Linked DNA regions of Macaca fascicularis. The protein of the gene in region 1 purifies or fractionates together with the protein of each later gene. This does not show direct contact. Links are inferred from orthologs where the notes say so. Each region holds a gene or a part of one and is shown in the gene's direction. Other genes may lie near its edges.

Region 1 (4,137 bases):
CGAAGTCTTCATATTTTAAGGAAACAGGGTAAAGACATTTTTACAAATATTTAAACATACTGGACTTTCACAAGGTAAGCATGCATGCCCAAAATTTTCAAGTAACCACTAAAACTTAGAAATAGAGTATGTAGGTGAAGAAAACAAGAATGAGAATAAAAATAAACCCCAAAGAAGAAAGGGGAAAAAAAAAAGAAAAACAAAACAGGCAGGACAAGTAGAAATAACAAAATACGATGGTAGAAATAATTCCAGATATATTAGTAAATATAATAAATGTAAATGGACTAAATGCTACAGTTAAAATACAAAGATTATTCTTCCAAGAAACCTGTTTATCATGAAAAATTTCAAGTATACAGAAAAGTGGGAGAAACAGTACAAGAAAACCATGTACCTGCGATGTCAAGTCAGCCATTGTTAGCAATTTGCCATGTTTGTTTCACCTATATTGGTATGTATAGGAGACTATTAAGAACACCTATTTTACTTTCACAGTGAACATGATATAATGAAATACAATTTAAACGGTAATCATGATGTAGAGTATCCATTTTTGAGGTCAAGCAGATCTGGATTCTCCAGCAATTTTTAATTATTTAACTTACTTGTGTGGTTATTTATTCAAAATGTCTCTTCACTAGGCTACAGTAAAAGGATTGGAATCAGGTTAGCTTTTCTGATCATTGTATTTCTAAATATTTATTGCATAAACAAATCGAATTTACTAGTAAAAATTCAGCACAGTGCCAGTTGCCTAATAAACATTTAACGTAGAGTAGCTTGTATTTATTGTAGCTGCTGTTGTCATTGGAAGCATTCAGCAGAGTGATACGAAATAAGCAATAATTGGTAGTTTATTATATTTATAATTATTATTTACAAGACGTCACAGTGCTTAGCCCATATCACTCACCCATAAACATCATGTTTATACTAAGTACTTTGACTATTATTCAAAGTCTCTAACAGTGCCTGGCACTACATAAGCAAGAGAAAAGTGGAAGTTTATTCTAATTGTTGTTACTGAATAAAGCATTTAACACGAGGCTGGCCCCCAGCGGACCCTTAATAGTTTTCGCGGCTGCAGTCGTAGCCGGACTACAAACCCCGCCTCCTGAGCAGCGCGAAGCCCCGCCCCTTGCTGCCCTGCAGTTCCGCCCCCGTGGCTTGTACCGCGCCTGCGCACTGTCCCGGGTGGGGCTCCACGCGCGCAGCTTTAGTCCCCGCCCCTGGAGCTGGCGGCGCAGGGCGCAGCTTCCCGCCGCCCGAGCGGGCCAGCCTGCTGCGTGCGTGCGTGTGTACGCCTGTGCGTGCGTGCGTGCGTGCGTGCGTGCGTGCGTGCCGTCAGCTCGCCGGGCACCGCGGCCTCGCCCTCGCCCTCCGCCCCTGAGCCTGCACCGCGTAGAACGACCCCCCCCAGCGCGCGCACCCCGTCGAAGACCCTCACCCGTGCCCCGACTGGTCCCCCCTTTTTTGTAAAACTTAAAGCGGGCGCGGCATTAACGCTTCCCGCCCCGGTGACCTCTCAGGGGTCTCCCCGCCAAAGGTGCTCCGCCGCTGAGGAACATGGCGAAGGTGGAGCAGGTCCTGAGCCTCGAGCCGCAGCACGAGCTCAAGTTCCGAGGTAAGCCCCAGAGGCCGCCACCTTCATGCTTGCGGCCCCCGCCCCAGTGCTGGAGGGACGGAGTCCGGCGCGGCGGGTGACGTCGGCCCTCGTCCCCACCCCGACGGCGCTGTCGTGGGGGCCGGCGAGGCCGGGCCGGGCCTTGGCGCTCAGCGCGCGCCCCAGAAATGCGCGGAGCGGCCGGGACCCTAGAGGACTGGTGCAGGAGCTAGGGCCTGTGCCTCCTCCCCGACCCCCAGCCTCCTGGGACTTGCCTTCGAGGCACTTGTCACTTTGCCTTGTAACTTAGTGACCAGTTTGTGATCACTTTAGTGTGAACCTCCGCCGCTGCTGTTGCCTGGAAGGTTCTTCCCCTGCTCTGTGACAGTGTTGACCTCAGGGTTTAGTTGAGGTATCACCTGCCCAGAGAGGCCTGCTGTGGCCACCCAGCCCACCGTGCACACCTGCTCTCCTGCTGTCCCCATTCTGTCACTGTTTCGTGGTCAGCACCGCACTTTTCGTACTCAAAATCACTGTTTCAACACTAGAAAGGAAACTGCATGAGGACAGGCTCTTGTCAGTTTGCTGCTGTGTACCCAGCACACATTAGACGCCTAGGAAATACCTGTTGAACCAACAAATGAACCTCCTCAGGCCTTCTGATGGGATTGGTCCCATTTTCCGTTCACTGCCTCCCTCATGGTGCCTCCTGGATGCAGCTGAGGGAGGCTGCCAAGGTGCTGGGATCCTTTTGCTCCGCAGAGCTGCCTGGAGCAACACCTGCGGTGGTGGGAAACCATGACCCTGGTTTCTCCCAGACACTATTATCTCTGTAATTTGTGCCTTTATGTTTTCTATGTTGTTCTTTTTTTTTTTTTTTTTTTTCCTACCTTCACCAGGGCCACGAGGTAAAAGGTCTGACATGCTCATTCCTTCTTTTTGCTTGTATCCAGTGATGTGGAAGGCACTAGGGAGGTGATGGATGAACAAGACAGACAAGGCCTCTGCTCTCAGAGAGCTTAGCTTCCGACGAGAACAGACAAACCAGCACACAACATCGTTACAGATACGTGGAAGGCCCTGGGGAGGTGATGGATGAACAAGACAGACAAGGCCTCTGTTCTCATAGAGCTTACCTTCCGACGAGGACAGGCAAACCAGCACACGTGATCTTTGCAGATAGTGCTAAGTGCTGTGTAGGAAATGGAACAGTTTGACTCCATGGAAGTTTACTGTAGATTGGAAGGTCAGGTCTCCACTATATCGCTAGCAGCGGGCTCACAGTAGATGTTCAGCTGGTATTAATGAATGGCCAGAGGTTCTCCAGTTTATATGTCTTATTGGGAAGTAGTGTAGGGTAACTTATGCAAAGTTACCCAGTTGGCAAGTGGTACATTTGAACCCAGACTTCAGAGTTCACGCTGTTAACCGTTATGCTGTCTGATCGCTGGGAAATACTCCAGAACGGTGGCTGTCACTTTGCCTTCCAAGTTAACAATGTGAAATAACTCTGAATTTACAGAGAACCAAAGGCTTTCCAATTAAAATGAAAAAAAACAAAAAAACCCCACCAAACCTACCGGGGATCGAAATTCCAGGATAGTACTTGAGGTTTCATGATGCGCTCATGGCTTTCTGGGAACGCCAGATTGGAAAAGGAGGCCAGGTGGCTAAAGTGGTGAGCCATGGTTTCCACTTGAGTTGTCTGAAGTTCTTTTTCTGTCTGGGAGGCCTGGCTTGGCTTCTCCTGAGAATTGGTGGGTTCATTCGGTTAGTCCACAAACATTTACTGAGTACCTGATCTGTGTGTCAGATACCCGGAGAAGCCAAGTCATATCAGCTGTACTCTCCCATTTTCCCTCAACCTCCTCCCAGTACTTTAGGGAAGGGGACAGATGAGAACAACAGCCAGGACAGGACAATGATGTAGGGTAGTTCAGAGTGCCCCAGGAGCATTGAGGAGGTCAGCTCCTGAAGGAGGTGTCATTTGAGCTCAGTTATAAAGGTTGAGTAGAAGAAGGCTCAAAGAAGGAAAGGGTGAGAACATTTCAGACAGAGGAAATTGCATGCACAGAGGCACAAACACTGAGATGACTGGGCTCCTTTGGGATGCCCAGTAGTTCTTTTTTTTCTTTTTTCTTTTTTTTTTTTTTGAGATGCAGGTCTTACTCTGTCACCCAGGCTAGAGTGCAGAGACGCGCTGTCTCACTGCAACCCCCGCCTCCCAAGTTCAAGCGATTCTCCTGCCTCAGCCTCTTGAGTAGCTGGGATTATATACAGGCGTGTGCCTCTACGCCTGGCTAAAAATGTATTTTCAGTAGAGACGGGGTTTCACCATGTTGGCCAGTTTGGTGTCAGACTCCAGACCGCAAGTGATCTGCCCTCCTTGACCTCTCAAAGTGGTGGGATTACAGGCGTGAGCCACTGTGCCCAGCCACCACTAGTAGTTGTGAATGACAGCAACAAAGAAAATTTGTTGTGGTTGCCCGGCAAGATGGCAGACAAGGCTGGTGAGTAGACAAGAGTCAGAC
Region 2 (3,500 bases), on another chromosome or scaffold:
CCTGGGGCATTGGCCCTGCCATGGCGTTCCGGAGGGCTGAGGGCACGTCCATGATCCAGGCCCTGGCCATGACGGTGGCTGAGATCCCCGTGTTCCTGTACACGACGTTTGGGCAGGTAAGGATCGGAGTGAGTTGTATTTCTTGTCTGTGAAACACTTCCATGCTCAGCCCAGGGCTCCTCCGTGTCCAGGAACACTGAGCCCTCGTTCTTGCTTTGCCAGACCTCTGGTGTCTCCTCTTTGTACTGGGTTTGTTGTCTGAGGCTTCAGGCCTGTTCTTTAGCCTAAGACTATATGAACTCTTTTTTTTTTTTAAATTAATTAAAAAAATTGTTTTGGCCAGGTGCGGTGGTTCATGCTTGTAATCCCAGCACTTTGGGAGGCCGAGACGGGCGGATCACCTGAGGTCAGGAGTTCGAGACCAGCTTGGCCAATGTGGTGAAACCCTGTCTCTACTAAAAATACAAAAATTAGCCAAGCGTGGTGGTGTGTGCCTGTAGTCCCAGCTACCTGGGAAGCTGAGACAGGAGAATTGCTTGAACCCAGGAGGTGGAAGTTGCCGTGAGCTGAGATCATGCCACTATACTCCAGCCTGGGCAACAGAGGAAGACACTGTCTCAAAAAAAAAAAATGGCCGGGCGCGGTGGCTTAAGCCTGTAATCCCAGCACTTTGGGAGGCCGAGACGGGCGGATCACAAGGTCAGGAGATCGAGACCATCCTGGCTAACACGGTGAAACCCCGTCTCTACTAAAAAATACAAAAAACTAGCCGGGCGAGGTGGCGGGCGCCTGTGGTCCCAGCTACTCCGGAGGCTGAGGCAGGAGAATGGCGTAAACCCGGGAGGCGGAGCTTGCAGTGAGATGAGATCCGGCCACTGCACTCCAGCCTGGGCGACAGAGCCAGACTCAGTCTCAAAAAAAAAAAAAAAAAAAAAATTTAGCTGGGCCTGGTGGCAGGTGCCTGTAATCCCAGCTACTTGGGAGGCTGCGGCGGGAGGATCACTTGAACCCAGGAGGCGGAGGTTGCAGTGAGCCGAGATCACACCACTGCAGTCCAACCTGGGCAACAGAGTAAGACTCCGTCTCAACAACAACAACAAAAGTTTTTTGTGGTAGAAATAGGGCCTTGCTATGTTGCCCAGGCTGGTCTTGAACTCTTGGGCTCAAGTCATCCACCCACCTTGGCCTCCTAAAGTGCTGGGATTGTAGGCATGAGCCACGGCACCTGGTCCTATATGAACTCTTGACCACAGTTACTCAGTCTGTAAAAGAGGTCAGTGCCCCCCACCGACAACTCACATGTTTGTGGCTGACTGGGCTCTTGACCAAAGATCTGCCCTGGGGGTTGCAGTCCCACCTGAGGGGCTCCCAGGCCCAGAGGGCAGAGGGTGACGTGCAGCAGTAGGAAGTGTTCAGATGGGGTGGCAGGTGAGTGAGTGTCATCGTCTTTGAGGCATCGCTGAGAAACAGGGGTCAGCGGATCTGGGTTTCATGTCTGCCTCTGTCGCCTTGAGCGTGTGTCTTCACCTGGGTGAGCCTCAGGTTCCTCGTCTGGAAATGACAGGGACTCAGATGGGTACCCCAGGCTAGGTCCTAGTGCAGTGCCAGGCACAGCTGGTGCTTGCTCACTGCAGCTCATTGTCATCATGACTGAGGGTGCTGGCCCTTAGACCTCACCTCCTCAGCACTGGCATCTTGCCATCTTTACGTTTTTGTGGTCCGTGTTTCAGGGAGGCTGGTCAAGTTCCCTGTGTAGGGCAGCTGCCTCTCAGTCTCTCGTCTGGTTGGCAGATGTGCCAGAGGGCCGGTGTATGTCCTGTCCCTGGGGTGCTCTGGGGCAGTCCTGCTGCCTTGGACCCAGGGAGGTGTAACCGGCAGCGTCTCCTCTTCCCTGCAGTCTGCATTTTCCCAGCTACGGTTGACGCCAGGCCTGCGGAAAGTCCTCTTTGCCACGGCCCTGGGGACTGTGGCCCTGGCCCTGGCTGCCCACCAGCTGAAGAGGCGACGGAGGAGGAAGAAGCAGGCTGGTCCCGAGATGGGAGGGGAGCAGCTGGGCACGGTGCCCCTCCCTATCCTCTTGGCCAGGAAGGTCCCTTCAGTGAAGAAAGGTAGGTGTGAGGTGGTGGGCATGGGCCTGTCCTGGGGTCACATCCTGGGGTCATATCCCAGCTGGGTCATTCTCTACCTGGGGATCTTGGGCCAGTGACTTCCTGTCTCAGAGCCAAGGTCTCATCCGTGAGCAGGATGACAGTAGCATCCCTTCCTCTAGTCACTGAACTGGAGGGTGATGCGGTTGGATGCGTGTGCTCTGTTGGTGGTGGTGGTTTTGGTTGTTCTCATTGGCTGAGGACCCTTTGGGAGCACCCAGGTCCGGAGTGGGTTGGGGGTGTGGCTTCTGGGTCCAGAGAGGGATGTTCCCCAGGCTGAGGTGCAGGAAGGGCCATGTTGTTCTTGAACCACGCGGTATTCCTCCCATCCCCTTCTCTCTTCAAAATTGAGGTTTAGGCCGGGCGCGGTGGCTCACGCCTGTAATCCCAGCCCTTTGGGAGGCCGAGGTGGGCGGGTCACGAGGTCAGGAGATCGAGACCATCCTGGCTAACACGGTGAAACCCCATCTCTACTAAAAATACAAAAAATTAGCCGGGCGTGGTGGCGGGCACCTGTAGTCCCAGCTACTTGGGAGGCTGAGGCAGGAGGATGGCGTGAACCTGGGAGGCGGAGCTTGCAGTGAGCTGAGATCATACCACTGTACTCCAGCCTGGGTAACAGAGCGAGACTCCGTCTCAAAAAAAAAAAAAAAAAAAAAAAAAAAATTGAGATTTAATTTGCATGTAGTAAGATTCATACTTTTTAGCATGCTATTCTTTGGACTTTGACACAGAGTCATCCAACCACCACCATAGTTAGGAATCATTCAGCTGGTTAGAAGGTAGTGAGTTCACTCAGTCGGTTGCTCACACTCACAGATCATACTCCTTCTATTCTCTTTTTTTTTTTTTTTGAGACGGAGTATTGCTCTGCCACCCAGGCTGGAGGGCAGTGGCACAATCTCGGTTCACTGCAGCCTCAGCCTCCCAGGTTCAAGCGATTCTCCTGCTTCAGCCTCTTGAGAAGCTGGGACTACAGGCATGTGCCACCATGCCTGGCTAATTATTGTATTTTTAGTAGAGATGGGATTTCGCCATGTTGGCCAGGCTGTTCTCGAACTCTTGAGCTCAAGTGATCCCTCTGCCTCAACCTCCCAAAGTGCTAGGATTACAGGTGTGAGCCACTGCGTCTGGCCGTCCTTCTACTCTTTTTTTTGAGACGGAGTCTCACACTGTCGCCCAGGCTGGAGTGCTGTGGCACAATCTTGGCTCACTGTAACCTCCGCATCCTGGGTTCAAGGGATTCTCCTGCCTCAGCCTCCTGAGTAGCTGGGATTACGGGTGCGTGCCACCATGCCTGGCTAATTTTTTGCATTTTTAGTAGAGATGGGGTTTCACTGTTTAGCCAGGATG
Region 3 (3,500 bases), on another chromosome or scaffold:
GGCTGGTCTCGAACTTCTGACCTCAAGTGATCCACCTGCCTTGGTCTCCCCAAGTGCTGGGGTTACAGGCATGAACCACTGCACCTGGCCTCCAACTTGACTTTTTAACTAAAAGGTAATACATACTTCTACATTTTGATGCCTAAATTTCTATTTGTAGAAACAGAAGTTCCCCTGCCCCCTTCCCACTCCCATAGTACTGTATTAGGTTTCTTGTGTATTCTTCTCCATAGGTTATACAGATCCCTCTATGTATTATACATAGGTTTATTGTATATCCCTCTAGTCTTTTCTTTGTGTCTGTATAAATACTATGATTTTGAACTATAAAAAATATTTACAATATTGGAATCACATTAGACAAATTTCCTTTTTCCCTCAATAGCATATCATGGCCATTTTTTCATGTCAGAACATACAGCTGAATCTCATTCTTTTTATTAGGTCGTGGAACTCTAGCGTTTCTTTATTGATGGGCACTTAGTTACAAACTTTCTTCCATTGAAGGTAACACTACAGCGAACATCCTGTGCACTCATCATTGTGCCAGGTGGAAGTATTTCTGTGAATACATAACTGAAAGTGGGATTGCTGCGTCGGAGGGCGTGTACGCTTTAAGTTGTCCTGGTGACTACTGCATTGCCTGCCACAGGGCAGCGCCAGTTTCCAACCGCCCATTGGCACATGAGCCTGCCTGTCTCCTTGTATCTTGGCCCACACAGGACTATCCTTGTTAATTTTTGCCAATTCAATCAATTTTCAAAGCTTATCATTTTAATTTACATGCCTCTGATCACTAATGAGGCTTTAGCATCCTTTCATCAGTTTACTGGCTGTTCATCAACTGACATTTATGGTTTTTAAGAATGTCTTTCACTTCTCATTAATAAACTCATTCCCTGTAGGCCTGTGTCTCACAGATGTCAGTGGTTAGTATCCCGACTCTAGCTGTGATTGTCTCCGAAATTATCCAGTCCGCTTTTGTACTGGGCTATAAAAAAAAAAAAATCTAAGACTGTTGTAGAAACCATTTGCTGTGAGATACAAATTTTGAAGTTGTAAATTGAATTTTTATAAATTAAAATGGGATTATTTAGGTCACCGATTTTTGTGTTTTCTTTTATCATGCAGTCAATTCTTTGGGGGCTGTGCCTCCCAGATGTCAGTGGTTAGTATCCTGGCTTTGACTAGTGGCTAATCATGTGCTTTTTGTCTCTTTATTCCACCCAAACACCATAAACAGAGCCAATGAGGAGATTGCGCAGGTTCGAACAAAGGCAAAGGCTGAGAGTGCAGCTCTCCATGCTGGACTCCGGAAAGAGCAGATGAAGGTGGAGTCCCTGGAAAGGGCCCTACAGCAGAAGGTACAGAAAGGGGCCTGATCTGGGTGGCCACAGAGACGTTTGGTTTTCCTCCTCAGCAGTGACTCGCTTATGACAGATCTGGGTGAAAGAGGCCTTGGCTTTCTGCTCAGACACTTCAGTCCATCTCCTTTCTGAACTGATCCAGGTGGAAACAAGTCAAACCATTAAATTTACAAGCACATCATGCGGAAATCATCCGTAGGCAGGGTGCAGAGAGGAAGTTGCATTTTAACTGAAGTTCAGAACACCTTCCTAGTTGGGGTCTTGAGACTGCCTTTCTTTCTTTCTTTTTGTTTTTATGCAATATATTAATATGAAGCCATCTCTCCCTTCATTGCTTTAGATCAGTGGTTTGCAGTTGGGGGCAGTTTTGCCCTCCAGGGGGTGTTAGGTGTTAGGTAATGTGTGGAGATATATTTGTTTGGTTGTCACCACTGGGAGATGCTATTGGTATAAAGTGCAGGAGGCCAGGGATGCTGTTAAACATCCTGCAATGCACAGGACAGCCCCTGACAACACACTTATCCATCCTAAAACATCAGCAGTGCTGCTTTGAGAAACTGCTATAGATCAGTGAAAACCAGGACTAGCAACAATCCCTGTTTCTCACTAAGCAATTTTTAGCTTTCCATTTTTATATGTCTCCGGTGTATTTTCCTTACTGCGTTTCCAATTATGTACTCATACCTGTGCCATCCATTCATCAAGAGCAGGAGTTTTTATCACAGGGTCTGATAACCCCTAGAATGGTGCTCTGTAGGAGATTCAGACTCCAGCATCCCTGGAGATGCTAATGGATTGAGTGAGACCCAGATACTTATGTTTTTGACAAGTACCCCAGATAATTCCTCTGATAACAAGAGAATTGAGGAACTAAGAGATTCATGGACGAGTTTCAGAGGGTTGGTGACTGTCTTCACCCTTTACTCAATTTAAGCATGATTTTATGAGTACATTGTTTTTGAGATGTGTAGCCTTTTTTTCTTTAAAGCATCTCTGATGTAGAAAAGTTAAAAATCACTGAATTGGGGCCGGGCGCGGTGGCTCAAGCCTGTAATCCCAGCACTTTGGGAGGCCGAGACGGGCGGATCAGGAGGTCAGGAGATCGAGACCATCCTGGCTAACACGGTGAAACCCCGTCTCTACTAAAAAATACAAAAAAACTAGCCGGGCGAGGTGGCGGGCGCCTGTAGTCCCAGCTACTTGGGAGGCTGAGGCAGGAGAATGGCGGGAACCCGGGAGGCGGAGCTTGCAGTGAGCTGAGATCCGGCCACAGCACTCCAGCCTGGGCGACAGAGCGAGACTCTGTCTCAAAAAAAAAAAAAAAAAAAAAAATCACTGAATTGGGATGTCTAGGGTAGGGTATATCCAGACTTGGGACTAGTTAACTCTATTTGCCTTTATTTCAGAATACAAAGTGGCCTGCGTAATTGTGTCTTTTGTCTTTCAGAACCAAGAAATTGAAGAACTGACAAAAATCTGTGATGAGCTGATTGCAAAGCTGGGAAAGGCTGACTGAGACTCCCCCTGTTAGCTCAACAGATCTGCATTTGGCTGCTTCTCTTGTGACCACAATTATCTTGCCTTATCCAGGAATAATCGCCCCTTTGCAGAGAAAAAAAAAAAAACTTAAAAAAAGCACATGTCTACTGCTGCCTGTCCCGCTTTGCTGCCAATGCAACAGCCCTGGAAGAAACCCTAGAGGGTTGCGTAGTCTAGAAAGGAGTGTGACCTGACAGTGCCGGAGCCTTCCAGTTCCCCATATGAAGGTTCCATTAGGCTGCTGAGTTTGGGTTTGTGATTTCTTTATGTTTAGTTTGTTTTAAAGTCATCTTTACTTTCCCAAATGTGTTAAAATTTGTAGCTCCTCTTTGGGGTCTTCTACACCACCTGTCTGATTTTTTTTTGTGTGATCTATTTAATCTTTTAATTTTTTAATATCAGTGGTTTTATTTAAGGAGACAATTTGGCCTATTGTTACTTCCAGTTTATAATCAAGAAGGGGCTCTGGGTCCCCTTTTATTAAACACACTCTCACACACATACATGTATATTTATAGATGCTGCTACTCTTTTCCCTGAAGCATAGTCAAGTAAGAACTTGTCTGCAGAAGGACATATTTCCTTCGATGTGAG
Region 4 (3,500 bases), on another chromosome or scaffold:
GAACCTGGGAGGCAGAGGTTGCAGTGAGCTGAGATGGTGCCACTGCCCTCCAGCTTGGGTGCCAAAGCGAGACTCCTGAAGAAAAAAGAAAACGAAAGGGAAAAACTGCGCAAGGTCTGAGATTTTACTGTACTTACAAGCTAACAAGTTAGTCTGTTACTGTTTTATAGATACTAGCAGAAAACAGGAGACATCATGAAATTGGCACACTAATCCGCTGGCTTGTAAGTAGGGTAAAATTTCCTTCATAACTACACTTAAGGCCACAGCTTATTCATAGATACATATATATGAAAAAGTATATAGCTTTTTTTATTTTTGAGATGGAGTCTCACTCTGTCACCCAGGCTAGAGTGTAGTGGTGCAATCTCGGCTCTCTGCAACCTCCACTTCCTGGGTTCAAGCAATTCTCCTGCCTCAGCCTCCCGAGTAGCTGGGATTACAGGTGTGCACCACCATGCCCAGTTAATTTTGTTGTTGTTGTTCAGCAGAGATGGGGTTTCACCATGGTGACTAGGCTGCTCTCAAACTCTTGACCTCAAATAATCTGCCTGCGTTGACCTCCCAAAGTGCTGGGATTACAGGCGTGAGCCCGGCCTTTTAAGTTTCTCAGTAAATTAATAGTGAGACATGAATTATTTATTGCCGGTAGCCTTAGGTTAGGTACTATGGAGGATAGGGCATAAATAGAGATGGCTACTGCCCTATACGAAGCATCAATCTGTTGGGGACACGTGAGGTATGTACGTGAATAACTGTAGTACAAGTAGAATATTGTTAGTGGCTTAAGGAAAATTCAGACAAACTATGAGAGATGAGACAAAGGAGGAAAAGTAATCCTGCATAATTGTAGACATTAGAAACAGACTCCCCTTGCTTTATCTCTACATTAGAATCACAAATGCATAATCTACTTTTCAGGGTAAAAATGTGTCATCTTTATTTTTTTTTTATTTATTTTTTTTTTTGAGACGGAGTCTCGCTCTGTCGCCCAGGCTGGAGTGCAGTGGCGCGATCTCGGCTCACTGCAAGCTCCGCCTCCCGGGTTCACGCCATTCTCCTGCCTCAGCCTCCCGAGTAGCTGGGACTACAGGCGCCCACCACCGCGCCCGGCTAATTTTTTGTATTTTTAGTAGTGACGGGGTTTCACCGTGTTAGCCAGGATGGTCTCGATCTCCTGACCTCGTGATCCGCCCGCCTCCGCCTCCCAAAGTGCTGGGATTACAGGCGTGAGCCACCGCGCCCGGCTAAATGTGTCATCTTTAAAGTCAGTTTCAGAGATATTTTAAATTATTATTTTAAAAGAATTCATATGGAAGAGTCATGGGAGCTTAAGGCCTTGTTTAAAAGGAAAAAAAAACTGAGTCTTTTAAAATTAATCGATAACTATACTCTTCCTTTGGAGAGGAGAAAGAGTGTTTGTCGTACAAGTGATGAAGTGCCATGCTCTTAGAGGCACGTTCCGTATGCCTTGGGGAGGAGAGAGGCAGTTCAAGAGAGTGGATTCCCTGACAAGCTACGTTTGCCAGAATATTCCAAGACATGTTTTAGAAGCTACCTATGGCATTAATATCATAAAGCCTAGAGAAGATGAAGATCCCCACCGACCTCCAACATCAGAAGAGCTGTTAACAGCTTATGGATGTAAGTTGGGATTCATTAGAAAACGTGAACAAAAATAACAGTATAGCTAATGAATAGAAATAAGAATAGTAATAGTACTAGAAATGTTATTCTGCAAAGATATAAATTTATCATATTTCTTTAGCATTTTTCAAGTCATCTTCCAGGGTTAATGTCTCTGCGGGCCTTGCCTACAAAGTAACCTACAGTGCAAAAAGCTTTCAGGACATTTGCTGCTTTGATGGTACCCATGTGCAGGCACAGGGGTTCTCATCGGAGGCTGTGTTGGCTGTTTCTGGAGTCTTCTCCCAAACAAGAAGAAAGGGGATGTGTGGAAGAAAATGAATATGTGCACCACAGCGAGGCAGGAGAGTTGGGACGGGAGCACCAGAAGGGAGACCCCTCAGAGACGGGGACAGAGTGGAGCTTGGTTAGGACAGGGGCACAAAGCACCCTCCTTCCTCTCCCATCAGTCCCTGTAAACTTACTTGACATGAAAATGAGACCACAGCTCTCCCACCTCCGTGTTTTTTCCCAATTCCACATGAGGACCTATGATTTCTTGCCTTCAATGTAAACTTTAAAGGTGGCCTGGAGAACCTTGTGTCTACCTAAAAAAAAAAAAAAAAAAAAAAAAAGAATAGCAGCATGAGAAGCATTTCTGTGCGTGTGTGGCTTGCCTTGAAAGGGATTGCCACTGGCTGGGAAGGAGTTCAGCTTATTCAAGTATTTACTGGCAGAGAAAGGTGGAAGGTGATTTGATAGGAATCACACTTAAATCAAACCTTGAACTTAGAGACTCTAAAGAGGATAAATACTAAACACTTGTGTAAGACTATTCTAATGACTGAGTCATAGAACAAGAAAAGACCTGAAAGATTACCTCACCTCCTAGCCCCTGCTTTTAAGAAGTAAAATCTGAACCCAGAGCCCAAGCTGACCCAAGGTGAGGTGGCTGGTCAGTGGAATAGCCTGGGTGAGATCTCCCTCGAGGATGTTAGCCTGGAAAATGCAGAAAGGTGGACTTCCACCAAACTTTCAGTTTGATTGTACTTCTGATAAAACTGAAAATAATCTGAGTCTTTTAAGATGTTTCATCTAATGCTGCCTGATAAAATCAGAGTAAAGAAAAAGCCAGTCTGTAAAAACAAATGACCACACGTACAATTGCTAAGTTCACTATCTGCAAGTCCATATAAAAGAAAATCTCAACAGTAAATGTTCAAAGATATTGCCAGATTACTCTCATTTTACTTTGTATTTCTTTAAATACTAGTGAAGTTGAGCATCTTTCCAAATGTTTTGTGACTATATTTCTTCTGAGAATCACATTTTCCTATACATGGTTCTGTCTTAATGATTTGTAGAAGTTCTTTGTTATATGTGCTACACATTTTTTTCCAACATTAATTATGGTTTCTTTGGCCCCCAAAGAAGTTGACAATTTTAACAGACTATATTTTTCCTTTTTGGTTTGACTGGGTTTGGTGTTTTACTTGGGAAGGTCTTCTCCATCCCAAAAAGATAAAACTATCTTCCTGAAATATTTACTTTTTTAACATTTAGATTTTTAATCTGCCTACATTTATTTTTGTATATTGTGTGAATTAGGATTGTAACTGTTTTCTTCTAAACTGGAAAAGCCAGTCGACAGCTAGTATGTGAGGGGGCTGAGTTTGGAACACAGCCTGTCTGCTGAAACCATGTTCTTAACACTGTGTTTTGCTGCCTTCTGACTGAGTTAGTATTAAAGGGATCTTACTGGGGAAAAAATGTGGGTACATCATTCAATAAGAAAACTTCTTCTGTTGCTTTCTGTTTTGCAAGTAGTATTGACAGTGTAGCATTCTCCTACAGGTAGCCTCCATGAATAAATG
Region 5 (4,004 bases), on another chromosome or scaffold:
GATCTTTGTGTTCACATTAAAATATATTTTTTTGTTTTTACTTTTTGGAAAAATAACTTAAAGTCTGCTCAGAGACGACTCAATTTCTTCATTTAAAAAATGAGATAAGACACACTATTTTTAGATGGTATTTGTGACTTTCCAAATGGACAATGTAAAGTACTTTCAAAAACAGTGCTTTGTAAAAGAAACAGTTTATTCTATTTACTTTATGTACACATTCCATTTATTTCTTCAGCAAATATTTATGAAGCACTTACTAGCATGATCACAATTTCAGTAAATAGTTGAGTACAGTAGTCCCCCCTTTTATCCATGGGTTCATTTTCCACATTATTCATTTTAAGTATTAGTTATTGTTAATATTTCACTGTGCCTAATTTATAAATTGAACTTTATCATATGTATGTACAGGTAAAAATAAAACACGCATACACAGGTTTCAGTACTATCCATGGTTTCAGTCATCCACTGGGGGTCTTAGAACATATCCCCTTGGATTAAAGTGAACTACTGTAATTAATTTCTTACTGCCTGTATCAGTCACTAGAATTCTAACTTTCTGGGAAAAGGTATTTCTTCTCTTTTGTTCTCTAATGCTCAGCACCCTGCGTGGCTGGCATTTAAAAGGCTAACAAATATTTGTCGAATGGATGGATGAATGCATGAATGAAAAACCAAATGAATAATGAAAACATAAGAGTATAATACACTTTAACACGTACTATATTGGGCTTGCATAGTACTATGGAAATTTATAGCAGGAGCATTTAAAGCCAGCCTTGACGGGGCTAATCTCCGGAAGAGCAATTAATCTTTTCAAAATCCGACTCTTGCAGGATACAGTCCCCCACTGGCCTGCCACTAGTTTAAAACGAATTATTTTCTGTGAAACATCAAGATCGTGCCAATATTAGGGCATCAATAAGATTGGTTGAATGAGTCAAAGGCCTGCGCGGACAAGTCCAATTAGAACACCTCTGGCTAAAAGCCAGAATGAATGAAAGGGTTCATTCCTTGGTGTAGACGCAGAACTGGGACTGAAAATCTGCCCCAAGCCTCCACGTAGACTTTGGCTCCACCTGCAGCAGCAGCAGCGCCCTAGTCACGTGACCCGGGCCAGCCCTCCCTAGGCGCCTGGGCCAGCCTGCGCCTGCGCAGTACTCGGAGACAGCGGACCCGTGTCAGTGACAGCTTCCGGTTTGGTTTCTCCGCCTTCTGCTTGGCTAGAGCTATTGGGGCTCGGCGGCGGCCGCAGTGGGGTGGAGGGGGCAGGGCGTGGTGAGGTAAGGTGAGTGCCGTAGTGGGGTTCCCCGGAGCCATGGCCTGCTCCATTGTCCAGTTCTGCTACTTCCAGGACCTCCAGGCCGCCCGGGACTTCCTCTTTCCTCACCTGCGGGAGGAGATCCCCAGCGGCGCCTTGCGGAGGGACCCCAGTAAGTGCCTCTCACCTCTCCGTTCCTTCCCCCGTCACCCGCGGCCTCTGCTTGGAGGGTTCGGGTCTCCTACTCGCTCTGCGCCTCCTGCCTCTGCCCTCTGGACCCCCAGTTCTTCCCGTGCCTCCCCTCTGTTCCGGGATGAACCCCTGCCCACCTCGTCCTGAAGCCCCATTTGTGTTGTCTTCCTCTCGACCCAGCTATTCTCCTCAGCCCCTCTGATCCCTGGCCCAAAACTGCGTCTCGTTTCCTCTCGCCTCTGCCTATCACCACTTCCTCCCTCCCCCCTCCCCCCACATTCCTAGCTTTCTCTCTAAGTATCTTCTCCGTCTCCCATCTTCAGCCTGGGGTCGTCCCTTGTTTCATGTTGCCTGCTCCGTGATCGCATCCTCCCCGTTCCTTGCCACATGTCAGCGCTCCACTCTGGTATTGCCCCAGCGCCCACTCTTCCATCCCGGGGACTGTGGCCTTCTGCCACCTCCCGTTCCGAAAGTGTTGATCATCCCCCCACACTCTCCCTTCTTTCATCCGCGTTTCCCCCATTCAGATTTTGAGAACAAATGGCTGACTGACAAATGAGTGACTCTTAAGGTGGTAAGAGTCTCTCAAAGAAGGAAAATAACCTGTCGGGAAGTGAACGAGAATCTACATTAGGAACTAAAATTACAGTGACATAGCCAAGAAAGGTTAATTTGCTTTATTGGGATGAGAAGCCTTCCACCTATTTTTATCATCAAAGTGTTAAATAAGCCTTTCCCCACGTAGTATAAAGTTCCAAGGCTGGTTTCTTAGATACTACATAGGCTCTCAGAATTTCCTACATTTCATCTTTTGAAAGGGTGTGCCTTGTGTTTTATTTTATTTTATTTTTGCATTTCCAACATGAAGCACGTTTGGCTTTGTAGTACAGTGTTCTCACTCTGTGCTATGCCGGAACGGTGATATAAGGCCCACTAAGCTCTTCCCCCTTTAAAAAAAAATTTAGAAGATATCAAATCAAACCCATCTGTGAATGATTACATACTCTGTGCCAGTCATTGGTGCTACAAACCAAATAAGGTTGGTGGACCCTGCCTCTAGGAACTTATGGTTTACAGACAAATCACTAACTTCCATTCAATGTGATTGAGATAGATGTGAGGCATTTTCTTCAAGTGGTGATACTTAAGCCTACCTTTGAAGTACTAGTTAGAGGAGTAAAGGAGCGGTAATAGCATGTGCAGAGGAAGGACTGAAATGGCATGGTATTTAGAGAACTAAGAAAAGCTGAGTGGCTAGAGACGAGGATGGGAGAGGAAGAATTGGGGCAATGAGGCAGTAATAGTGATAAGGAGCTAGACCATGAGAAGCCCTGTGAAAGTTGTGGCGTTTCTCTGAAAGTTTAAGTAGAGAAATGACATTGTCAGATTTGTACTTAATGTAATCAACAACGTTTGTTGAAGACCCGTAATGTGCTCTGGTAGCAAAGTGGAGGAGAGATTGGAAGAAGGGAAATGGATTGGGAAGCTCTTCCAGTAATCCAAGCAAGAAATGATATGAGCTTGAATTAAGAACCTTAGCAGGATGAAGATGAAGGACTAGATTAGAAAGACATAAAGGAGTTAGAATCTGCAGGACCTTCTGAAGGTCTGGTGATGGGCATTGTAACTAGTAAATGAGGGGGAGTTTAGGAAGTCTTTGGCTTGTGGTTTGGACAAGTGTATATAATAAGAGAATAAAGGATACAGATTTTCAACCTTTTGCATTTTAAATGTTTACAGTATGTCCAAGTAAGGACATCTGGTTGAACACCAGATATAGATAGTCTAAACAGTAGGGAGTACTGGGCCAGAGACGTTAATTGGGGAGCTAACAGCAAAAACTGTAAATTCAGTCTCAAAGATTATGTATGTTGTGAAATGCACTGAGTACTAAAGCTGTAAACTTAGAGGAGCACTGGTGTTTAAAAGTCAAGTAGAGGTTACTGGGAAGAAGACTGCGAAGGAGTAAAAGAAAGAGGAAAATCAGGTGAGAGTAAGGCCCTTGGAGCTGAGGAAGGTGAGAACTTGATGAAGGTGAGGAATAGTCAGCAGTTTTGCAAATGCAGCAGAGGTCAGGTAAGAAAAGGATAGAAAAGTGCTCATTGGTTTTGGGAAGGTGGAAGTAACTGGGCCTTAGGACAGTTTCAGTAGGATAGTGGAGGCAGAAAGCATATTTATAGGATAAGGGGTTAAAAAGTGAAGTATACTATTTCAAGGAGCTTGGCTGTGAAGGATAGCAGATGCAGGATTGTAGATAGGGAATGTAGAAAAAAGGAACAAATTTTCTTTATCCCTCTACCACTCTCCTGGTCCAGGCCATGATCTTTTCTCAACCTGGGCTATGATATGATATGTCTTCTTCTAGCAGATCTTCCTGCTTTCACTCTTGGTTTCCCATAATAATTCTCAACAGTAGGTAGAGTGAGCTTTTAAGACATAATTTAGATCAAAACATTGCCTTTTTTCTTTTTCTTTTTTTTTTTTGATATGAGGTCTCACTCTGTTGCCCAAGCTGGAGTGCGGTGGCATGATCTTGGCTCACTGCAAC
Region 6 (3,223 bases), on another chromosome or scaffold:
TGGCCACCTTGCCCTCCCACCTTTATCACTGTTATAATTTTGTGTTCCTCTGGTGACTAATGACCACCTTTCTGTTCTGCTCTCTGAGGGCAGAAAGTGGGTCTATCTTATTCACGGCTGTATTCTCAGTGCCTTTCACACAGTAGAGCCCATGGCGAACAAGCAGCTCACCTCTGCAGAGGTGGGAGATGTGACATCTGTGCAAGAGGCTCTGTGGTTTCCCGTCTTCATTTCTTCTGATCCCCCGTGCCCTCTTGGTGTTTTTGCATGGCTAACTCTCCCTCCTCTCTCCCTGGAGGTGTGTTGAGGCTCCTGGAACACGGGGAGGAGTACGTATTCACCCTGCCTAGTGCCTACGCCCGGTCCATTCTCACCATCCCATGGGTGGAGCTCGGAGGAAAAGTCAGCATCAACTGTGCCAAGACTGGGTACTCAGCGACGGTGATATTCCACACGAAGCCTTTCTATGGAGGGAAAGTCCACAGGTAGGATCTGGCTGGAGAGGCTCTGGCTTTGTCTTAACACGATGCCCTGAGTTTCCTTTCACTATTAGAAGACTGAGTTTCAGTAATGGGATGAGTTGAAAATCAGGATAAAATTGTTAAGATCTGTTCCAAAAGAGATGCCTTTTCCCTACCTTACATGGCAGTTTTTTGGAGTCCTCCCTACTCTAAACTTAAGGTTAAATCTTTGGTGACGCATTTGCAGAGCAGATGCCAGAGAATAACAGCACTTCTGTTGGAATAAACTCTCCCTTCTGAAGCCACAGTTTGTTGCTTTGCTGTAAAGTGATTGAATCTTTGAACCCAGACATAGCCAGACAGTTCCCCATTTACATTAGTTGGCCACACTGTCCTCAATTCTGTGTCACGCATCCATGAGGTCAGGATCCTTTCTTTCTTTTGAAAAACTTGGGAAGCCCAAGTCTAAGTCATTGAAGGAGAGGTCTGCTGTTTGAGGAAGCACACAATTGTTTTCATTGCTGCAGCTATAAAAAAATTCCTCTTTCAGCACAGCTCTACTGCATAAGCAAGATATACTATACAAACAAGCTTCCATCTTTGCCCATTTTCTTGGAAAGCATTATTCTGCATGGCATTAGTGTGAGTGTGTCAGAGTGTCACAGGGGCATGTGGACACCCTTTGGGGGCACCTGGAACCAGCACACACCAGCTCGTGAGAACTGATTTGTGTGTATTTCACGTTCAGTGCTATCATATTGGTGTTGAAATCAGCCATGATAGGCATCACAGAAATTGGCAAATGGTACAAATCAGGTGTTTTCCCTTTTGGAGATCCAGTTGCTAAATATTTCCCAGCATGCCACTAACACCTTTCCACTGTGTGCAACCCAGAAGATGCCTCATACCTGCCTGTGAGCCTCGGCCTTGCTGACTGTTTTTAGGCTCAAGGAGAAAGCCTCCCAGTCTGTTTGGAAACTCTAAATTCGGCCTGAGCTGGGCCTTAAGGAAAAGGGGAGTTTAGACCCTACACGTGGCTGCTTTGGGGCAGGTATCCCCGTTTCTGCGGTGTTCCTTCAACTGCGCAGAAAGCTCAGTGGTGGAGAGGGAGCTGGGAGTCTGCTTTCACTTGGAATTCCCACAGGCAAGGCAGGTGGAAGAGAGGTCACAAATCTCCACAAAGGCCCTCTAAAGGAGAGGTTGAAGTCATTCCTCAGAGCCACTACTGTGAGTAGGAAGGTATTGATTGAGACTGAGACTCTAGGTTCTGCTCAGCCTTCATTCAGGGGATGTGTGGATGCTGGAGTGGATATTTCCCTCCTTTTCCAACGTAAGCTCTGTTGGGATTGTGGGCAACCATGTTTGACCCCATACAAAATAGACCTAATGATTTAAGGATTGAAAAGCTCACCCTACACTCTTACAGTCTTTTTAGGGTTAAAATGTAGCATTATTAGATGCTATTTTGGAGAAGAGAGAGTATATGCTATTTTGTTTTCCTTTTTTTAAAAAATTAATTTTTTGCATAAGTTATTGGGGTACAGATGGTATTTGGTTACATGAGTAAGTTCTTTAGTGGTGATTTGTGAGATTTTGGTGTACCCATCACCCAAGCTATAGATACTGCACCATATTTGTAGTCTTTTATCTCTCGTCCCCTTCCCACGTATTTTGTTTTTCTTGAATTGCCTGATTTTCATCCCAGTGATATCTTACAGAATATTACAGTTAAGAAATTAGCATTGCTGTATTACTATTAATTAGTCTATAGACTTTTTTTTTCCAGTGATGCTTTCTTTTGCTGTTCAAGGATATTAGATCATCTTTTAAGAGCTAGTCTTTGAGCAAAGCTCCAAAAACAATCCCTCCTTCCCATTCTTGATTAAAAAAAAAAAAAAATCTCTATAGATGGGTGTACCTTTGAAGTCTCTGTTTTTATCATTTTGCAAAGTGTGTTCATTTGACTCATTAATTCAGGGTTACCGCAGAAGTGAAGCACAACCCAACCAACACCATTGTTTGTAAAGCCCATGGGGAATGGAATGGTACTTTAGAGTTCACCTACAGCAATGGAGAAACCAAAGTCATCGACACAACCACACTGCCAGTGTATCCCAAGAAGATCAGACCTCTCGAGAAGCAGGGGCCTATGGAGTCCAGGTGAGAATTGGGCTGTCTTCCTCTCCAGCTTAGTCATGCTGGGCACTTGACTCAAGGGACAGAGAAGAAAGAAGACTTTGAAAGCTTAGCGACTGGAAACAGGCCAGGAATCATGTTCTCCTGGCTTCTTTAGATATTTTAGTTTTCTACTGTGTGTCACTTAGGAGCAGAACCTTTCAGCTTTCAGTTAAGTCATTCTGTAGTCATGGGGTGGGTGTGAGGATAGACTTCAGCAGACTTTTACTGCTTGTCTTGCAAAAGTTTGTCAACTGATCTGTTGCTTAATTGCAAAGGTAAATACAGAGAGTTGATAGTAATCAAAGAACTGCACAGTGAGTCAATGAGATACTATTTTTTTCTTGCCAGATTAACAATGTTTTAAAAAAAAATTAAATGCTGGGAAAGGTGTAGTAAAACTGACACTCTATACCCTGTCCTTCTAGTAGGAGTGTGTGCAGTTTAGCTGCATGGATCAGTAGCTTTCAATTCATTAATCCACTTTAATCTCATGTTCTACTTCTAAGAATCTGTTCTCAGGACAAACTCTTAAATTCAGAAAAAATTTAAACAACATAAAATGGTTTGTTCTTTGTTTAAAGAAA
Region 7 (4,042 bases), on another chromosome or scaffold:
TGAGGCGGCTCAGAGAGGGTCTTGCAGGGGATCCACAGTGGCAGAGGGGCTATAAATGGGTCTTTGGGACCCTCAAAGCAGGGCTCCCCTGCTGGGACCACCTCCCCTCTCTGGCCCTGGGGCAGGGGAGGGATGCAAATATGTGTGCCTGTCCCCCCAGGGCCACTATGTTCAGTAGCATAAAGCCCTTGGGGGGGCCTGTATGGCAGAGTGTAGGACTTCAGGCTTGAGGGGTCAGTGATGGGGACCACAAGGATGCTGGGCCTAGGAGGCCAGTCATTGTCCAGGGCAGTGGACTCAGAAGCAAGGAGTCCTGATGGGCCATGAATGGTGGAGAAGGCCTTGGAGGAGGAGGATTTGAGGGCGCAAGGCCTAGAGATGTCACCAGCCTACCGAAGCAGCATCCTTAAGGGCCCCAAACCAGCCCCATCCAGATCCAGAGCAAGTATGGGGGATGGGAGGAAGGGCTGGGCCTGGTGCCTGGCAGACTGGCTGCTGCACGCGATGGGGTGGGGGCCGTTTGTTGGGCCAGGTTTAATGGGCTTTGCTGTCCCACTCTCAAAGCCTGCCTTCAGATGTGGTCTCCACGCTCCCCATAACCAGGGTCCCAACCCCAGGGGACGCTCAGCAGAGAGCTGGGCCTGACCCCAGCCCACAGCTGCCCTCTTGGCCCCTCCCTGCCCTAGGGTTCAGGTCGGGTGCTGCCCGCCACGCAGAAGCAGTCCGGGGACCCCTCCCAGAGGGGATCAGGGCTCAGGACTGAGAACTAGGTACCTGCTCAGGAAAGGCCAGAGGTTGTATCAGTCAGTGCTCTATCCCTGCCTGGGGGCTCCCAGTCCACTACCCTAGACCTATTTCCACAACTGGACAGCTGGAAATCTACACAGCCGCACGGACTTCCCGCCACACCGGCGAAACTGGGCACAGCCAGGGTTGATCCAGGATCACCAACAGACCCTGGGGGCACAGGGGGTGCCAAGGCTGTTGACCCGCTGTGTGACCTCAGGAAGAACACTGTCCCTCTCTGGGCTGGGTGTTCCAGGAGCTCTTGGGCTTAGGCCTCTGAGCTTTTCGGAATTCGGGCACCAGGGGACAGTGGGCAGTGCGCCCACCCCAGGTCTGTCTGCCTGTGGAGGGGTGAATCAGCTTCCGGCCCCGCCCCGGGCGGCACGTGACTGCAGGTGGCGACGGTGGGGTGGGCGGGGCGGCCCTGAGTCACCAGTGCTCCCCCGCCCGGCCTCGCGCCGCCGCCGCCGCCGCCGCCGCCGCTGCGTGTGCGCCGCGCTCCGCCCGTGCCCACTCGGTAAGCAAGTCACAGCCGCGCCCCCGGGATCCCGGGTCTTGCGGGGCGCCGCCGCCCCACAACCGCACTTTTGGCTCTCCTGGACCCCTCCCAGAGCCCCGTCCTCTTCAGGGCAGGCCTCCAGGGTTGCCGGCACCTGGGAATTTTAAGACCTCTCCCTTACCCGGAAGCCCTCGGTTTGCGGGGCGCCGCTGTGCCGGGGCCGCCTCCCACTCTAAGAAGCTACTGGGAAGTTCCCCGGCTGCCCTAGTTTCCCTCAGAAGTTGCCAGGACTTCAGGCAAGTCCTGGGATGTGGGTTCCCTGTCCCCTGCACATAGAGGCACGCTGAGCCCTGGGACGTGGCCCACAGCTCTCTCCCTGCTGTTACGATCCCTTACTTTCTTCCCATCCTCGTCCAGTGCCCCCACCTCATCTTCCCAGTCCCAGCCCCAGCCCCGTCCTTCCCACGCCCACCTGAGTTCCCGGCCCCGCCCCCCGCCGCCCCTTCCCGCGCGGCCCGCCCTCCGCGCCGAGCCGGGCTCATCAGGTCTTTCCCGCAGGTTGCTCATGGGCAGAGGAGCAGAGGCTGCGGAGAGGCCCCCGAGCGCGCGGTGCCCCAGCCGGGCCGGAGCTAGGAGCCGGACCTTGCCCACCTACCCGCGGCAGCAGTGCCCGGGCAGGCGGCACCATGGCCTTCTCCCAGGTGCAGTGTCTGGACGACAACCATGTGAACTGGCGCTCCAGCGAGTCCAAGCCCGAGTTCTTCTACAGCGAGGAGCAGCGGCTGGCGCTGGAGGCCCTCGTGGCCCGCGGCCGGGACGCCTTCTACGAGGTGCTCAAGCGGGAGAACATCCGAGACTTCCTCTCGGAGCTGGAGCTCAAGCGCATCCTGGAGACCATCGAGGTGTACGACCCGGGCTCCGAGGACCCTCGGGGCACGGACCCCTCCCAGGGGCCCGAGGACCACCGGGTCGGCGACGGAGAGGAAGCCAGCGGGGCGGATGGGGTCCCCACCGAGGCTGAGCCGCTGCCCTCCCTGGAGTACTGGCCCCAGAAGTCGGACCGCTCCATCCCGCAGCTGGACCTGGGCTGGCCCGACACCATCGCCTACCGCGGCGTGACCCGGGCCAGCGTCTACATGCAGCCCCCCATAGACGGGCAGGCCCACATCAAAGAGGTGGTGCGGAAGATGATCAGCCAGGCACAGAAGGTGAGGCAGCGTGGGGACTCTGGGAGCCAAGGTCCAACCAGCGACCGGACCCCTCAATACAGGCTCACTCAGAGCCCCAAACGGGAGCCCAACATGGCCTTCTAGGGATTTCTGCTGTTTCCCTGGCTGCCTCCTAGGTGGAGGTTTCCTCCCCACCTTTGTGGGGATCCGCAGTTTCCTTGCAGGATAGGGTTCCCAGGTCCTAGCCGGTGACAGTGGGCTGCCCTGTCTCAAAGGGCCTCTGTATTGTTGCGGGGTGTTTCTGGTTCCCCAGAAGAAGGGACCAAGATAGGGTGGAGTGGGGAGGGGAGGAACCCCAGGGCTTCCTCTCACTTTCCCTTAGAGTGTCTCCGATTGGCTGCGAAGGCCCCCACACACCGTGAGCTCTCTGGTGGGGAGAGCTTTTGTTGCGGGGTGAGGGGATAGGCATGGTCCGAGTCCATCTGAGACTGGCCTGGAGGTCCTGGTTCAACACTGCCTGTTTCCTAGCTGTGCTGAGCAACTGGGAGCAGATTGCGCACCCTCTCTGAGTCTCTTTGTGAGCTTTGCAATGGTGGAAACTTTCCAGGCCAGGATGCACGGGTGAGGACAAAGCCTTCTTTGGCCCTCCCATTCTCCACCCCTTTTGGGCTATGCAGTGCCCTAGCTGTGGGGGCCATTCTTGGCTGACACACCATCACACATTCTCAGAAGGGGTGCTTGCCACTTGCAGAGATAGCTAGGCCACTGCTGGACAGCTGTGACCATGAGCAGGTGCTAATGCCTGCTGCACGTAAGTACCTTCTCATCATTGCCAAGCACATCTTGACTTGATAAATAAAGCTTACCTAGTGAGCTATGTTGAGAAGGGGATTCTGAAGTCAGATCTGGGCCTCAGGTTGTGGGATGAGGTCTTCCTTGCTGGGTCTAATCCCTTTATACTTCCAATCCCAGAGCAGAGCAGCCAATTGCACAAGACCAGAATGCTGGCTTCAGAGACCATCCTGGCTAACTGACAGGGCCTTGGGGAAGTTTGTAGGCAGAGAAACCAGAAGTGGGTCAAGAACTGATGAGGTGACCCCGGTGGCTCCTGGCCCTGGCTCCAGTTTCCAGGAAGGTGGAGTCCCTGCCCAACAAGGGGACCAGCTGGGTCAGCTAGCTGGGTCGGGGTGCCTGGTCCCCAGCCTGACTGCTCTCAATTCACTGACTGACCCTGGGCAACTTTGAGGCTTCGGGTTTTTGGTCTGTAAGATGGAGGTGGTGCAGATAAAAGCTGCATCTTTGGCTATTGTGAAGATGGAATATCGGGTGACAAAAGTAAGGAAGGAGTTAGAGGAAGAGGAGGAGGAGGGGGAGGAGGAAGGGACTTTCATAGTTTGCAGGCTGAGAGACCCGCCCCACACCTGCCATGGTGTGTGGGAAGTGCTGCTGACGTCTGTGACTGGTGGAGATGACTGGCTGGAGGCTAGAGAACCCAGTCTTCACAGAGAGCCTGCTGGGATCCCATTACCCAGCCTCCACTTCCATCTTGAAAACAGAGAAACCGAGGCCCTGGGTAGGGGGACTTGCT

What was found.
Region 2: the proteins of VAPB (region 1) and MIGA2 purify together in Homo sapiens (affinity purification with mass spectrometry; 3 studies listed by BioGRID and IntAct, counting the BioPlex papers as one, with this or other methods). This does not show direct contact. The link is inferred for Macaca fascicularis from reciprocal best matches to the Homo sapiens genes VAPB and MIGA2.
Region 3: the proteins of VAPB (region 1) and TACC1 purify together in Homo sapiens (affinity purification with mass spectrometry; 3 studies listed by BioGRID and IntAct, counting the BioPlex papers as one, with this or other methods). This does not show direct contact. The link is inferred for Macaca fascicularis from reciprocal best matches to the Homo sapiens genes VAPB and TACC1.
Region 4: the proteins of VAPB (region 1) and LSG1 purify together in Homo sapiens (affinity purification with mass spectrometry; 3 studies listed by BioGRID and IntAct, counting the BioPlex papers as one, with this or other methods). This does not show direct contact. The link is inferred for Macaca fascicularis from reciprocal best matches to the Homo sapiens genes VAPB and LSG1.
Region 5: the proteins of VAPB (region 1) and RAB3GAP2 purify together in Homo sapiens (affinity purification with mass spectrometry; 4 studies listed by BioGRID and IntAct, counting the BioPlex papers as one, with this or other methods). This does not show direct contact. The link is inferred for Macaca fascicularis from reciprocal best matches to the Homo sapiens genes VAPB and RAB3GAP2.
Region 6: the proteins of VAPB (region 1) and OSBPL10 purify together in Homo sapiens (affinity purification with mass spectrometry; 4 studies listed by BioGRID and IntAct, counting the BioPlex papers as one, with this or other methods). This does not show direct contact. The link is inferred for Macaca fascicularis from reciprocal best matches to the Homo sapiens genes VAPB and OSBPL10.
Region 7: the proteins of VAPB (region 1) and FAM83G purify together in Homo sapiens (affinity purification with mass spectrometry; 3 studies listed by BioGRID and IntAct, counting the BioPlex papers as one, with this or other methods). This does not show direct contact. The link is inferred for Macaca fascicularis from reciprocal best matches to the Homo sapiens genes VAPB and FAM83G.

Annotation. Positions count from the first base shown.
Region 1 is NC_088384.1:114,456,127-114,460,263, forward strand, and holds the start of VAPB (vesicle-associated membrane protein-associated protein B/C), read left to right. Parts: upstream 1-1,337; 5' UTR 1,338-1,569; coding exon 1,570-1,627; intron 1,628-4,137. UniProt on the Homo sapiens protein: Endoplasmic reticulum (ER)-anchored protein that mediates the formation of contact sites between the ER and endosomes via interaction with FFAT motif-containing proteins such as STARD3 or WDR44.
Region 2 is NC_088389.1:14,906,465-14,909,964, reverse strand, and holds part of MIGA2 (mitoguardin 2), read left to right. Parts: coding exon 1-116; intron 117-1,897; coding exon 1,898-2,108; intron 2,109-3,500. UniProt on the Homo sapiens protein: Regulator of mitochondrial fusion: acts by forming homo- and heterodimers at the mitochondrial outer membrane and facilitating the formation of PLD6/MitoPLD dimers. May act by regulating phospholipid metabolism via PLD6/MitoPLD.
Region 3 is NC_088382.1:42,248,439-42,251,938, forward strand, and holds part of TACC1 (transforming acidic coiled-coil-containing protein 1), read left to right. Parts: intron 1-1,243; coding exon 1,244-1,364; intron 1,365-2,814; coding exon 2,815-2,883; 3' UTR 2,884-3,500. UniProt on the Homo sapiens protein: Involved in transcription regulation induced by nuclear receptors, including in T3 thyroid hormone and all-trans retinoic acid pathways. Might promote the nuclear localization of the receptors.
Region 4 is NC_088376.1:3,984,132-3,987,631, forward strand, and holds part of LSG1 (large subunit GTPase 1 homolog), read left to right. Parts: exon of another isoform or gene 1-224; intron 225-1,405; exon of another isoform or gene 1,406-1,520; coding exon 1,521-1,644; intron 1,645-3,500. UniProt on the Homo sapiens protein: Functions as a GTPase. May act by mediating the release of NMD3 from the 60S ribosomal subunit after export into the cytoplasm during the 60S ribosomal subunit maturation.
Region 5 is NC_088375.1:78,165,834-78,169,837, reverse strand, and holds the start of RAB3GAP2 (rab3 GTPase-activating protein non-catalytic subunit), read left to right. Parts: upstream 1-1,204; 5' UTR 1,205-1,321; coding exon 1,322-1,436; intron 1,437-3,920; exon of another isoform or gene 3,921-4,004. UniProt on the Homo sapiens protein: Regulatory subunit of the Rab3 GTPase-activating (Rab3GAP) complex composed of RAB3GAP1 and RAB3GAP2, which has GTPase-activating protein (GAP) activity towards various Rab3 subfamily members (RAB3A, RAB3B, RAB3C and RAB3D), RAB5A and RAB43, and guanine nucleotide exchange factor (GEF) activity towards RAB18.
Region 6 is NC_088376.1:16,732,947-16,736,169, forward strand, and holds part of OSBPL10 (oxysterol-binding protein-related protein 10), read left to right. Parts: intron 1-298; coding exon 299-485; intron 486-2,438; coding exon 2,439-2,621; intron 2,622-3,223. UniProt on the Homo sapiens protein: Probable lipid transporter involved in lipid countertransport between the endoplasmic reticulum and the plasma membrane.
Region 7 is NC_088390.1:18,837,443-18,841,484, reverse strand, and holds the start of FAM83G (protein FAM83G), read left to right. Parts: upstream 1-1,242; 5' UTR 1,243-1,303; intron 1,304-1,843; 5' UTR 1,844-1,971; coding exon 1,972-2,493; intron 2,494-4,042. UniProt on the Homo sapiens protein: Substrate for type I BMP receptor kinase involved in regulation of some target genes of the BMP signaling pathway. Also regulates the expression of several non-BMP target genes, suggesting a role in other signaling pathways.